Lepisosteus oculatus: one gene and its partner. The protein of the gene in region 2 binds, or shares a complex with, the protein of the main gene of each other region. Links are inferred from orthologs where the notes say so. Each region holds a gene or a part of one and is shown on either strand. Other genes may lie near its edges.

What was found.
Region 1: the proteins of iffo1b (region 2) and xrcc4 are in contact, whole or in part, in a crystal structure (PDB 6ABO), measured with the Homo sapiens proteins. The link is inferred for Lepisosteus oculatus from reciprocal best matches to the Homo sapiens genes IFFO1 and XRCC4. Residues at the interface, in NP_001317253.1 of Homo sapiens: Arg469, Glu470, Tyr473, Ile477, Gln479, Ile480, Glu481, Glu483, Leu484, Ala487, Lys488, Asp490, Met491, Arg493, His494, Leu495, Tyr498, Met501, Lys505, Leu508, Asp509, Met512, Cys515, Arg516, Leu518, Ile519, Thr520, Gln521; in NP_001304941.1 of Homo sapiens: Trp155, Val158, Gln159, Phe162, Glu163, Cys165, Val166, Lys169, Glu170, Glu173, Leu176, Tyr177, Phe180, Val183, Leu184, Lys187, Lys188, Lys190, Ile191, Leu194, His195, Lys197, Leu198, Ala201, Ala202, Arg205, Glu212.

What each region holds. Positions count from the first base shown.
Region 1 is NC_090698.1:70,692,919-70,700,325, reverse strand, and holds the start of xrcc4 (DNA repair protein XRCC4), read right to left. Parts: upstream 3,254-7,407; 5' UTR 3,239-3,253; coding exon 3,225-3,238; intron 3,058-3,224; coding exon 3,019-3,057; intron 1-3,018.
Region 2 is NC_090718.1:3,679,818-3,687,561, reverse strand, and holds the start of iffo1b (non-homologous end joining factor IFFO1), read right to left. Parts: upstream 3,150-7,744; 5' UTR 2,861-3,149; coding exon 1,848-2,860; intron 1-1,847. Other genes in the region: opn9 (opsin 9), read right to left, coding at 7,259-7,536. UniProt on the Homo sapiens protein: Nuclear matrix protein involved in the immobilization of broken DNA ends and the suppression of chromosome translocation during DNA double-strand breaks (DSBs).

The DNA of each region.
Region 1 (7,407 bases), on a different chromosome or scaffold from region 2:
ATGTTCTTGGAACGTCATGCTTATGAAATACTCTTTTCTTTTAAACAGAACAATACACTTTAAAATGAGATTTTTTTTTGCAAGAAATATTTAAATAGGCCTTTGAGAAATACACACAACAGTCCATATTCAACAGTGATTGCAAAAGTATTCAGCACCTGCCAATAATATTACATTAGGATGCATATACTTATTTGCTTTTACAAATGAACTTTGTTTTATTTAGAACTGTAATGATCAATGTCATATGTGCGGGAGGTTGAAAGTCAGCACAAAAGCTTTGCACAGTGGGATGGGGTATGTTTGTTCATTCCTCCTGACAAACGTATTTCACTCCTAACAAGTCGACTGGGGAGAATTCACAGTCAACAATCGTCAAGCAAACCTTGTCACAAACTTTCTATTGGATTCGTATCAGAACATTGAAGTTTGCGGAGCAGTGGCACTGTGGCTAAGGATCTGCGCCTGTGGCTGGAAGGTTGCCGGTTCGTATCCCGTGGCCGGCAGAGGAATCCTACTCCGTTGGGCCCCTGAGCAAGGCCCTTAACCCCAACTGCTCCAGGGGCGCCGTATAAATGGCTGACCCTGCGCTCTGACCCCAAGCTTCTCTCCTCGTCTGTGTGTCTCATGGAGAGCAAGCTGGGGTATGCAAAAAGACGAATTCCTAATGTAAGAAATTCTATATGGCCAATAAAGTGATCTTAACTAACTTAAACATTCATTCCATTGTTGTCGGACCACTTCATTGTGCTTTGGCCCTGTACTGAAATGTGATTTTAGAACCGATTTTAGATTCTTGGGCAACTAAAACAAGTACTGTATTTCTCAAGACTTTGCTCCATCTATTTTCCCCTTAGTCTTGACATGCGTCTCCACTGAAGAGAAGCAGCCCCGTAACTTGATGCTGTTACCAGCATACTTGAGAGCTGGGGTGGAGTTGACTGGGTAATGTGTTGTATTGGGCCTGCATCAGATGTAACTCTTTGCATTTAGACTACAAAAACATCAGTTTTTGTCTAATTTGATCATAAACCCTTCTGTTACCCTCCATGTCTGCATTGTATTTTCTAGAAGATTTGAGATGAATTGTTTGCAGGAATGTCTTCTGTCATTGCTTTCACCCATAGAGACTACCTCATGCTGGGAACAGTGATAGTGTATGAACAACAACTCCCATTCTAGACAAAAGAAACTGCAAATATTTCAAAATCACTGTTGGCTTCACAGTTACTTTACTAACCACTTACCTGCTTGCTCAGCTGCTGAGTTTGTGTCTTGGTAATATGCTGCAAATTCCAGTCCAGTTGTCAATAATGAACTTCACTGAATTAAACTAGCTTTCTTCTACTCTATGCCTTTATCAGTTTATGCATAATTTGTTTCAACAACTCCTTGGTTTTCATGGTCAATTTGGTGTGTCACAATATGAGCTTGAAATGGCTTGAAATGCAGTATCTGACTGAACTTACAGAGACAGATGCAGTTACTCTGAACTGGTCAATTCACACCACTTTGATTACACACAGACAGGGAACGTTGCATGAATGCTGTGATCTTTCAGACTGTTATTTTGCACCTCAACTGATTTAGGTCTTCCGTAATAAAGAGGGTTGAATACTTATGCAACTGAGAATCTTCTCATTTTCTATAAAGATCTCATTTATTTGCTCGCCATCAGCATTTTTACCTTTACCAGTTTGAAGTAGACTCTGTAGATTTGTTGTACTGTTATTGCAAGCTCAGACAGAAACAAAATGTAGAAGCTTTGCGGTGGGTGAATAATTGTGCAAGGCACTGTAATCAGAAAAGCAAGAAACACTTCATTAATTAATGCATCTTTTTACCTTGCGTTGATAAGTTGCACAGACCATAATGTTCTGTTTTCTCCATCACTCACAACAACAGTTGTTAAGAAACACTCAGAGGAAAATGAATGGAACAATTTTCTTCTAGGTTTTCATGTTTGGTTTGCAATTGAAGCCTTTCACAAGGCCCAGGGGTATGTTAAAAACCACATGCCTCCAAGGCTCACTTTTACTCCAAACAACACTGCAGCTTAATGAAAACAACCCCTCACTTCATAACAACCCTGAATGGTTTCAAGTTAGATAACACCAATAGAAAATATCAAATACATGCACTGATTCATAAAATTACAGTAGCTGTAGAAGCAACAGACAGGATCTTGTATGGACCAGACATGTACCATGCACAGGTACTGTATACAGTAGGTATCCAATATGAATTAGTTGGACTAGTGCACAAATATTCCAGTTCTCAGATATAAACTGCTTATACAGCAGAGAGGACAAATGTGTGCCCACTCATTGAAACAGAACCATACAATTGGATTAAAATGGATGACCTTGTGTTGACAGTGGTGATATTGATATCTGATTACAATCTTTTCTTCCCATCTAAAGTGCATTCTCAATTCAATGATACAAGGCTGTTTCTCATTTCTTTAGCTCACCCGCTGTGCAGTGGGTGATCTGCTATCCTATGGCTACCACACATCGCCAGGATACCACCTTCACTGCTCGCAGAGGGGCTAAATGGGCCAAAGGACCTCTTCTTTGCTGAATGGACTGGGTCACCTCCTACATGAAAAGTGCTTTCTAAAATGTCGAATAAACTCAAATACTGTAAGTATATTTATGGTGGTCTGCTTGAAACCTGGGACAACAGTGTAAGCTTCCAGAGCTACAAAAGGCTTTTCTCGGGGGCTGATTATAACATCTAAAGTGGAATTACGAATCAGAAAAGAGCTTCAACAATACAATTTATTGTTAAAGAGGCAACTTACTCAACCATGGACACGAACATTAATTGTGAGCATTAAACTAAAAAATGGCAGCAAGACAATATTTTATACACTGTAAGTATCAATATCTTTTGGTAATTTTCTTGGCAGTAAGAACTATAGAGGCTTGTACTCTCAGTGGTTATGGAAACTTAACCTTTGAGTACAATAAACTGCATAGAGGGGTAATGTGTCAACGTTTATATATTACTTACTCAACAAACATTCCAATAAAGAGAAAGATTAGCTCCGTGCTGAAATGACAAAAAAAAACAATTATACCTGTGGAACCCTCTTTAGGTAAGAGAATATTTACCAATTTTTTTTTTATGTACCACCATAGATGTGACGACCATAATTTGTAAACCTTTTGTGCATACGTTTGGGGACCCCTGTATCTACTGTTTTTTATCATTCTTACTGTAATCTTGTCATTGATCTGCTTGCTTGTCTTGACTTTTTTTCTGCACTCTGCCTGGATTAAAACAAACAACAAATCAGTCATTAAGAATTTGCTCCCTTCTTTCTGATCCGAAACCTCTTCAAAGTCAATCATCGGATGCTGAACGGACGCGGAATGTCACTGTGTAAACGGGCCCATCACGACCGTTTGCTTCTTCCTTCCACTTAAGTCCTGCTGGTTATGTTTCAGCTCACACAGCGGAACGAGAGGCATCCTGAAACTGAAAACGGCTCAGGGTTGATACCACTTTCAAATGCCATGTGACTTTTTATAAGGGCTGAATGAAAATTTGCCAGACACACTTCAAACGGGACAGTGAGAGCCTTTTGACTGCGACGAAGAAATATTTCGCTGGGTCAAAAGCCAAAGGACACAGCGGTCCTTCAGGACCAGAGCTGAGAATCACTGGCCTGTTTCCTCCATGGGTATTCTTTTTATTATTATTTATTTTGTACTTTATGGGTACTTCCACGGAAAACACAGGCTGCGTAACAAAATACCACCACACAGTATGATGCCAATAATGCAACACTCCTTACATCGTATCTCAAACATATCTGAAACCATGAAGAGCCACATCAGGTTTGGCAGTGACAAATCTACCACCAGGATAAAAGTTACGGTATTGAATGACATATTAGTATATGTAATAGTATATTATGTGTAATAGAATATGCTCCAGTATGCAATATACATCAAGGCTGTGCATTTCTTCCTTACCTTTTATAAGCAATTCCAACCTGAAGGTAGAAAAAGCAGCATTTCAGCTGTGGAGCCTTCTTCAGGTGTGAAGGCTTTTAAATACAAGGTCTCGATAATTTGAGACCAGAGTTGGATGCAGCCTTTACGTGTTCCTTTGCAGCTTGGACACTGATGCAGTTCCCTATTAAAACCATTCCTACTGGACTGAGATGAACTAATTTACCCATTAAATGTATTATGTTACTGGGAAAGGGAGGTGTGAGAATCCAACAACAACACTGTGTAGTAGTAACTTGGAGATTTCAGGGACTCAAGTCTCATTCCAAGTTTCAAGGACTGTCAGTGACCCCCATGAAATGACTTCAGAATGAAGCAAATGGGTTCTTGTGAAATCACTGAAAAGTTGGCTTTTGTTCCCATTAAATGTGAAAAATGGGTTCAGCGTTGAAATATAAAAGTCTGCTTTACAGTAACGTCTTAATGTTTCATGTACAGCAGGAATTCACCTTCGCTCTCAAGATGAATAAGAACCCAGGTGCTCCCACACAGTCTCTACCTGCACCTACAAGACCCACGACTACACTCCTTTCCCCATCGCCCATCTCCCACTCACACCCACTGTGCTGCCGATCATGTTGTCTTCCTGGCCAGCCACATTAGGATACACAAGAAATGACCACTGGACGTGTTGAAAAAATCCCGAATGTCAAATTCTGTGATTGCACTTCGATCTCCCTAACAACCTCAGCCTCTGGGCAGTTGTTGCTTTTTACTTACTGCTTTTTTTGCTTTTTACTTATTGCTTTCTAAACTACTTGGGGAAAATCAATTATCATTGTCAATGGCAAGATACATAGAAACGCGAGATTTGCAAGAAACACATGCAGTATAGCAGGATCCATACTCATGGAACGCTCCATTGGAAATATCCTTACCTAGAAACCACTAGTAGCTGCTGACTGTGGGGCGTCCGTAAAGTGATGTTGGCTTTTGAAAAAGTTCATGATTCAGTGAAGTATACAGCAAAATGTAAAACCAATGCTTATTTAACTGAACTGATATATGCAATTATGACTAAAATATGCAATCAGAAACAAAAACAACATGCAAATACGCACCTCCAAATGCCAATACAAAGCACTGTCGCTTAAGAATGTGTAACACAAAGTCAACTTGACCAAAGACATCAGAAAAAAAAATGAAGGCGATTTAAAATTACAAGTAAAAATTACGAAAAAACAGTCATGCTGTTTAAGATGGGCTAAAGATTAAAAAGACTATTTATATTTTAGAACAGATTAAACGTTAACCTCAAAAGAGGATGGCTGAGACACAGTAACATCTGCACACAAGACAATGGCCTAACGACAGTAACGACAGACAAGCACCCAAATTAAATCAGCAGTCACTCAGGAGCTGCACTGTGATAGGAAGGAGAGAAACTTCAGAGATAATGAAAGAATTTGGCTGAATAGTTCCATTAATGTGGAGAGGAAGCTGAATACCCTTTTTACCTAACCTGTATTGAGACATTCAAATTCATACAGATTGTTCAGGTGGTCCCTAGGAAAAACATTTTCCTTGTAGTACAGTATATACAGTATGGACAGGATCTGGCAAAATTATTCACACCCTTGCATAGTCTTTATATTTTGTTTCTTTAATTAAAAATGGAAATGTCATGATAGTGAAAAATCAAATTAACAACCCACACAGTTAGTTAAGTGGTCTCTGTGTGGAATAATAGTGGTTCACAACTATTTCAGGGTAAATACATCCATCTCTGTGAGGTCCCCCAGTCAGGTAGTATATTTCAAGTTTATATTTGAACCATGAAGGCAAATACACATTCAAAACAACTGAGGGATAAAGATGTAGAAAGGTACAGAGCAAAAAAGGGGATACAAATCTTTCAAAGACTAAAAATTAATATCTCTTTGAGCATGGTGAAGGCAATCATTAAGAGGTGGAAGGCACCCAGACACTGTCTAGGTCAGGCTGCCCCTCTATACTGAGCAGCCAGGCAGGGAGGAAGATGGTTAAGGATGCCACCATGAGGCCACCTGACACTTTGACAGAGAATTCCATGACCATGAGAGGAGATAATGTTCATTGGTCATCAACATCCCAATCATTCCACAAAAGAAGCATTCTTATCATTTTTGGTCTAAATGAAGTCGCATCTAACACATACCCAACACAGAGCTTCACTCAGATAATACCATCCCGACTGTCAAGAATGATGGGGGCGACTTTATGTGACAGTTCTGTTTCTCATCAGCAGGTACTGGGGTGCTTGTCAAGACTGAAGAGAACATAAATAGAGCAAAATACTTAGTGGAAAACCAGCTTCAGATCTAAAACTGGGACAAAAATTCACCTTTCTGCAGGACAGCTATCTAAAGTACAAGGCCAAAACTACACTGAAGTGGCTTATGAATAAGAAAGTTAATACCCTTGAGTAACCAAGTCAAAGTCCTGACCTGAGTCCTATTAAGGACATGTGGAAAGAAACTGCTGTCCATAAGTTATCCCCAAGGAACTTGAGAGAGGTTAAGCAAATCTGCCAGGATGAATGGGCAGGTTCTGCACCAAGCTGATACTCTGCACCAAGGTTATACTCTATACTCTGCAAGAAGACGTGCAGATACAAGCAGTGCCAAACACAATCAACATATTTCATTTCTTCCTCTTAAGAATTTAAGTTTAAACCATTGTGTATGCATCACTTTGTAGCTTCAAAAGCCGGATACCATAGGTGGAGTCTGAATGCGTCACAGGCCACAGATGATTTTGACGAAGAACGGATTGAACACACAAGAGACGCACACCAGCTTCAGACACAAAATTTGTCAGAGGAGAGTGGCATTAATATTGCACTCACGTGTAAAAATGTGCCATAAAGAAGGCCGCAAGTGCAGAATTGCGACTTCTGACCACAGCTGGCAGCTCCCAGATGGCAACCGAGCGTAGCTATGCCAGCCAAAATCAGTTGTATGCCTTCCAACTAAAACTGCCAGGTTACTGCTCCTGCTGTTGGCTGCCTCATAAACACTATAATGGCTTAACACCAACCAGACAAAGTGCTAAAGATAAACAACTCAATTCCTGACTGTTGCAGCTTCTCAATAAATGTGATTTACAAGTATTGTCCTCAGACTCCACGGCCCCCACCTGCAGTCTAAGTTGGATGGCAAATGCCTGGAGAGGGAGGGAAGAGCACAGGAGGGGATCCTCTGTAGGCCCACAGGGAACAACTCGCCTGTTATCTCCCCATGCCCATCAGTCAAGGCTCACTGGCAGGTTGCTGCCTTGCACTGGGAATGAACTGACTGTCACCATTCACTGCAACACTGAATGGGAACTGACAGCAGAAAGGCAGGCTTGGCTGTGCCCCACACAGACATCTCTGTAAACGTGCAGTCACCTTTTAAAATTA
Region 2 (7,744 bases):
AAACTCATTTTCCCCACTCCTGGAACAAACAGCCCAGCTATATCCTTAGAACCAATGCTATAACAACCCTGCTATATTTCCAGAAAAGGGCTGGGTGAGATCCTCTTGTCAATGAACTGGATGAGGAGGCTGCCCACCTCTGATGCAACTTTCTTAATGCTCTTCATGGTGCTGCTACTGGCGCGGCAAGAAAGAGCAATGCGATCAACGTGTGCGCTGATGAACTTGTCCAGATCGCAGCACAGATGGCCAGTTCACACACCCCCTCTCTTGCACCTTAACTTCAGCACTCAGCTCCCCGCACTGGCTACCTGAGACTTTTGGACCAGCGACGTCTGAATTGTGATTTCCCAATTGGCGACTTTAATTTGGCAAGTGCTGGACGGGCTGGCGCCTGCTGCTCTGCTGAGGTGACGGATCCCGGTCAGCCATCGAGGTCGCAGCCAGAGGTCAGCCGGAGGCAGCGGCTGGGACTTGACCGGTCGTCGGCACCCTCGGAGCCCGTGGGGGTCACTCAGCGATGAACTCCATGAGCACCGAAACTCTACACCGCTTCGAAGCCCACTCCAGTCTTTACACTGAGTGTGCTTAAATTACGGGCGACCTAGACGAGGTGGAGCTGAGCTCAGCCAGAAATCAGAAGATAATAATTTCCTTCCACTTATATAGCTCTTTTCTGGACACTCCACTCAAAGTGCTCTACGGGTGATGGGACTCCCCTCCACCAACACCCCCTCTCCTCTTTCGAGAAAAACCCTGGGATTTTTAATGACCACAGAGAGTCAGGACCCCGGTTTTACGTCTCATTCAGAGGACGGTGCCTTTTTACAGTATAGTCACTATACTGGGGCATTAGGACCCACACAGACCTCAGGCTGAGCGCCCCCTACTGGCCCCACTAACACCTCTTCCAGCAGCAGCCTTAGCTCTCCCAGGAGTCTCCCATCCAGGTACTGGCCAGACTCACACTGCTGAGCTCCAGTGGGGCTGCCAGCTGGGAGCTGCAGGGTGACATGGCTGTTGGCAGTCTTGGGGCACAGAGTTGGGGGTCGTCCTGTCGGTCTGCCGGATCCCCAATCTTCCCATTTGGAATTGCTCAGAAACAGCTGGCCGGTTTCACGCCCAGCCTGTGACAGTAAAGCAGCAGCCCGGACTCTCTCCCTCTAGAAGCAACAGAGGTACATTTGCACCCCGGATTTCTAGTGGAATGACCAAGCTCCTCTGTAACGACTGCAAGAAGTGACAGGAACGGGACCAGAAACTCTCCCCGGGCCCCTAGCGCCCTCACGTTTAAGAGCAGATCTTTCCCCAAGAACGAGAACACATCTTCCCAAAAACCCCAGAGGCACACACCTCGCCTGCTTAACAGTGGCAGCTGACTCACACTCAAAGCAGCAGGCAGGCCTGTGTTGAAATGCCTGCTGTTGGCATCCCTACAAGAGCCCCTGCAGCTGGTAAAACCTGGAGCGGAGCAGACCGCTGCGCAGCGGGAGGCTGATATGTGACCCTGATTAAGCCAAGGGACACTGTGGATCTACTGAAAGACATATGTACTGTGTGTGTTACTACACAAAAAGTTGAGAGACCCCATATGGACCCATGGGCAGATGTCCTATGCACAGCTACCCTGTAGAGATGAAGTCATCTAGAAAGAGACACCATCACACACCCGCATTAGATCCCGGTCAATTATTAAGCAAAAATCGACCCGAGAACGTTATAGCACGGCCACGATAGTACAACAACTATGTCGCTAGAGCCGTAAGGCGCCCCTAGAGGAGAATTAAACAGTAACAATAAAACAATAACAATAATAATAACAACAATAAAATAATAATAATAACAACCTTCGCTTGTACTCGTCCCTCTCTCGCTTCACTTTAGCCAGCACGTTGTACAGGGCACGGATCTCGGGTGTTATAGTATCGATTTGAACCCCGACTCCGTCCGGGTGGACCCAGGACACGCCTGGGCCGGTGACCCGGGTTTCCAGACCCGGGCCAACTTTGCGAGTGTGGTTGTAGGACCAGATTGTCCCGGGCAAGAACCGGGGCGGCGGGTTGGTGGTGGAGTTGACGCCGCAGCTAGTCCCTGTACTGGTGCCGGTGCTGGTGCTGGTGGTGGTGGTGGTAGTGGTGTTGGCGTTGGCCCCGTCGGCCGCAGAGGTCGACCTGGAGTTCGGATCGGGGTTCGAGTTCGAGTCCGGGTTCAGGTTCGTGGGCTCCAGGGTCAGCACCGTGGTCAGACTTGGGGTAAAGACGCTCGGGCCCCGGTAGACCGAGCTGTTGGAGTTGGGGAAGTTGAGCAAGCCGGGTCGGAACGAGATGGGCCCGACAAAGCCGGTCTGGACGCCTTGCTCCCTGGTCTCCGGTCTTCTCCCGTCTCCGTTTCCCAGGCCCCCTCCCCCGCCGCCGGCTTCCAGCGCCTGCTGCAGCTGCTTCTCCAAAATCTTATTCCGCCGCTCCAGTTCGTGCACTTTAGCCAGAAAGCAGCGGAAACGCAGGTTGAGCGTTTTCAGGACGCTGATGTTGGAGCCCAGGTCGTTCCGCAGGGCCATGGCCGGGGGAGGAGGCGGGGGCCGGTAGAGGGGGTTGTTGAGGTGGAAGTAAGCGAGCCCGGGCGGCAGGGAGCTCAAATCGAGCCCCGGGAGGGAGTCGGCCGCAAAGCCCTGGTGCTCGCTTAAGAGAAAGCCCGGCTCGCCTGCGCCATGAGCCGGGTCCGGCAGCAGACCCGAGGAGTCCTGCTGGGCCGCCTGCTGCTGTTGCTGAAGCTGTTGTTGCTGTTGCTGTAGCAGAAAGACGTTGGCACTTAATAAAGGATTCATTGTATGGGTCAGCTTGAAGCGCTCCAAATCGGGCATGAAAATTATAATTATTTTTAGTATGTATGCTTTTAAATCCGAATATTCAGAAGAGCAGGCAGACGCCGAGATGAAATCAGACACAATAAACTGCAAGCAAAGTCCGCTAACAGCTGGAATAAAAGCGTATTTTGTAACCAAGCCACACGACTAGTGCGCTAAAGCTGGCTGCTAACTATGCGAAGCCCAGCTAAACGTTATTCGCTAGACTGCTGTCTGTTTTGAAAAAAATGGCTGAATGCGGCTTTTTCACCATCGTATGTCTGCGAGTATAAGCAACCTCTTTCAAGCATCTCCCCCCCCGCGCTGCTTGGAAAAAGTCGAGCTGTTTTAAATAGCGCCTCCGCGACACAGCTCCCGAGCCCCAGTTCTGATGCCAGACCCGGAGGTCCTTCTGTGTGGAGTCTGCACGTCCCTACCATTGTAGAAAGGGTCCAAATGAGCAGTCATTCAAATAATTTCACCCTGAATGCACCTACTAATAAGGTCAATTTAAACTCTGTAGGTGTTCTCAGTTCCGAAACGTGTAGGAGGTTGACTTTTAACTATTGTATTTCATGAGTAACTTAAAATATCCGCCCTCCGAGCTGGATAAAAAAAAACTTGCGAAGGTTGTAACCAGGCGACGTGTTTGCTGGTTCAGTGAAGGCTTCGTTTCAGTCAGGAGCTCAGCTAACCCGTAGACCAAGATTGGGAAACCCTGGACTGATCCGTTATTGAAAACGGATGCATCCTTGTGGGTTTTTGCGTTTGGAACATTTTGCCTATATTGCTGCCACGATGTCCCGGGACAAAGAAACAGCCCTATTTTTCATCGCTCGTGTTATCTGATCAGTACGGTAGCATGCCATTGACGTCAGTGAGTCAACACAACTGGAATGCAGCCTGCGGCGCTCGGTCTTATTATTGTACAGTGCGTGTGCGTGGTTTTCTGAGGGGTGCGTGTTTGGGACACCAAGTGCCCAGGTTTTACTGTGCCGACTGATGAATGCGTAGTTTGTTTTTTGTAATCACTTGTGCGCGGCTGCAACAATCCCGAAGTCATTTTAGGTTAGTGCGAGATGAGGGGCTGGCCAGGGTCAATGAAAATGACCTCTTCGTGTCCAGCCGGCGTGCGGCTCTCTTCACTGCAGGAGAGTTCCGGAGAGCCGCCCCGAAGGACAGGGATGAATCTCACGCCCGTGCCGTTTTTAAAAGCCTCTCTGTTCAGAATCTCTGGGTATCCGAGAGTCCGAGTTGGGTTGGGGAAGAGCAGGGCACAGACAGATTAACTTTTAAGGACAGTACTGGGAGAACAGTACTCGTCTTTGGGCTCTTCTGGTTTATAGATTAATTTTTTTTGGAATCCCAAGCGTTTGTTGTCACTATAAGAAGAGGGGTCCTAAGACATTTTTTTTTTAAAGTCTAGCCAAAAAAAAGTCACTAGAAACATTCATACAGTCAAAGAAATGTTCTGTACCGACTAGGGAAAAGAACTGAATCTATTTGGTCTTTAGTCCTGGCCGAGTGGAGGCGTTGTGTACGTGAAGCAAAGTGATGGTACAGTGGTCAGCGTTGCTAACTTGCAGCCCTGGGTTCGAATCCAGAATTGGGGTGCTGTCTGTGTAGAGTTTGCATGTTCTCCCCATTTTCCTGTAGGTTTCCACAGGGAGCTCGGGTTTCCTCCCAGAGGCCAAAGACATAGTGGTCGGTTAATTGGCTTCTGGTAAAAATTGACCCCAGTGTGAGTCTGTGTCTGTGGACTGGCGTCCTCATCAAGCAGGGTGTACCCCGCCTGGCACCCGTTAGGCTCTGGGTCCCCCCCAGTCTCTGGACTGGTTGAATTAAAGGATGGATGAATTACATCATACCCAGTTGAAAGACAAATGACAGTTTAGGATCTTTCTGTTCATTGTGAATATTCTTGTCCATCAGTCAGCTAGCATAGCCAGCATGGAAGAAAACGGAGACTGAGATGCAGGCAGAAGGATACTGTAGACAAGTGCAAATGCTGAGAGAGGGGAAGAAAAATGCAGACTGTGCTCCCACTACCAGTGCCGACAAGCAGAGGCAGAGATGCACTTTTCTGCTGCACTGTGAGAAATACTCTGGGATCAGACAGACATGCTTCCCTAAAATGATTAATCTTATCCCAGAATTCCCACACCTGCCAGAATCAGAACGGTTTCCAGTCATACTGGGAGGGGGGGACTCAACAGAGTTGCATTACAGAGTGTGATCTCCTGTCCCAGCCTGAGGAACAGACAGTGAGCCTGTCTCTCAATATGATTACCACCCAGTAGCATTAACATCTGTGGTGATGAAATGCCTGGAGAAGCTGGTGTTGTCACACATCAACTCCTCCATCACAGAATCCCTGGACCCCTTGCAGTTCGCCTACCAGAACAACAGATCAGTGGATGATGTTGTCTCCCTGGCTCTTCATACAGCCTTGGAACACCTGGACACTAAGAACTCGTATGTGAGAATGCTGTTTGTGGACTACAGTTCAGCATTCAATTCCATCATACCCAGTCAACTGGTGACAAAGCTCAGGGGATTAGGTCTGTGCAACTCTGTCTGCAACTGGCTGCTGGACTTTCTTATCGAGAGACCACAGGTGGTGCGGATAGGCAATAAAACATCAACACCACTCACCCTGAGCACTGGAACCCCACAAGGCTGCTGTCTGAGTCCAAGGTTGTACTCCCTGTTCACTCACGACTGCACAGCAAGACACAGCAACAACCGCATCATTAAGTTTGCCGATGACACCACTATAATAGGACTGATCAGTGATGATGACGAGTCCACTTACAGGGATGAAGTCGTACAGCTGCTTAGGTGGTGTCATAGCAATAACCTGGACTTGAACATAAAGAAAACGAAGGAGCTAATAGTGGACTTTCGGAGACACAGGCCACACACTCACAGCCCACTCAGTATTGATGGAACGGAAGTGGAAACATTCACCAGCTTTAGGTTTTTGGGAATTCACATCTCTAAAGATCTAACCTGGACTGTGAACACTGACTCTATCATGAAGAAGGCTCAGCAGCGCCTTTATTTCTTGAGGTGCCTCAAGCGATGGGGGATGCCAATACATGTGTTGGTGAACTTCTACCGCTGCACCATCGAGAGCGTCCTCACCAACGGGATCACCGTGTGGTATGGCAACACCTCTTCACGAGAAAGAAAGGCACTGCAGAGAATGGTCAATATGGCCCAGAAGATCATCGGCTGCGGTCTCACCGAGATTAAACAGCTCTTTGAGGACTGCTGCCGTGGTAGAATTCTGGCCATCACAGAGGACAGTCACCACCCCGGGCATGAGCTCTTCACCCCACTGCCCTCAGGCAAGAGATATAAGAGCATACGGACACTTACCACTAGATTCTTCAATAGCTTCTATCCACAAGCAGTGAGATTGGCAAACACATTTAGCCATCCCCCTCGGACCACACCTACACCATCACCATCTACCTCTTAATGATTTCTTATTTATTGCACATCTCCAGTCATTGTTTACACGTCTGTATTGTTTACATTCAAACTGTCTACATGTTTACTTGTACATTGTCTACTGTTTGTTTGTATATTGTCTTGATGCACAGTTTGCACTTTGTTTGGTTTTTTACACTTGTTTTACAATCGAGAGACTTTCTGTAAGTAAGAATTCCATTGTACCAGTACCGGTTACATATGGCAATAAAGTTCAAGTTCAAGTTCAATAATAATAACAATACAGTGTGTGATCTCCTGTCCCAGCCTGAGGAACAGACAGTGAGCCTGTCTCAATAATAATAATAATACAGTGTGTGATCTCCTGTCCCAGCCTGAGGAACAGACAGCGAGCCTGTCTCTCAATATTAATAATACAGTGTGTGATCTCCTGTCCCAGCCTGAGGAACAGACAGTGAGCCAGTCTCAATAATAATAATAATAATAATAATAATAATAATAATACAGTGTGTGATCTCCTGTCCCAGCCTGAGGAACAGAGAGTGAGCCTGTCTCTTGAGAAACAGTGAACACAACTTTCAATAATATTCTATATGTTGTATGTTAATTTCCTATGATGTGTTTGCATTTAAAATATCTGTAGAGGTGTTATTGACTGTATATGCTTTGGCAACACCTGTAATATACCAGCCATGCCAACAAAGCTGTTTAAACGTGAGAAAATCTTTCGATTCCCTCTGATTCGACATGAGCTTTCAAATCCAGGATGTTTGTACCGGTATGGTGCATCATACAAATGACATCTCAGGAGCTCCCCTTACCTCGCTGCCCTGTTCTTTCCTCCTCTTTCTCTCAATCCCAGTGCCTCTTCCTCTCCTTCCCTACCTTCCTCTCCCTCCCTCTCTCCTTTTCTTCTGTTTCCTTCTTTAACCCCCAACCCCCTCCGCCTCCTGTCTCTCACACCCTGTTTTCCTCGTGGAACGTCAGCATGCTGTTAGCAGGAGACTGTCCTCTTCCTCCTCCTCCTCCTCCTCCTCCAGGCCTGCCTCTCTCCTCCTCTTCTCCTCTCTGCAGGTTCCGCTGGGTGTCCAGGCCTCCCATGTCCAGAGATGCCCCTCTCGCCAGGTCCGGCCAGCTCACTCCCTGCCTCTCCCTGTCTGCCACCCAGGACCCAGTGTCGGTGCTGCACCCCCAACTGCAGGTGGAGGACAGACTGAGGCTGCCGCGTCTTCCCCCTGTGAGAGAGTCAGAGGGGGCTCGCCATGGCTGCTCGCTAAATGTTACTGCTTCGTCAATGCCCATACAACTCCTTCAGTCAATTCGAGAGTGGGGTAAGAAACACACCAGGAGCAGAGAGACTCCAGAAGAACGACAGGTTCCGTGCCTAACAGCCTGGCCTTAGTGGTCTGACTAAACTTGCCAGCAGCCTCATCACCCTGCAGA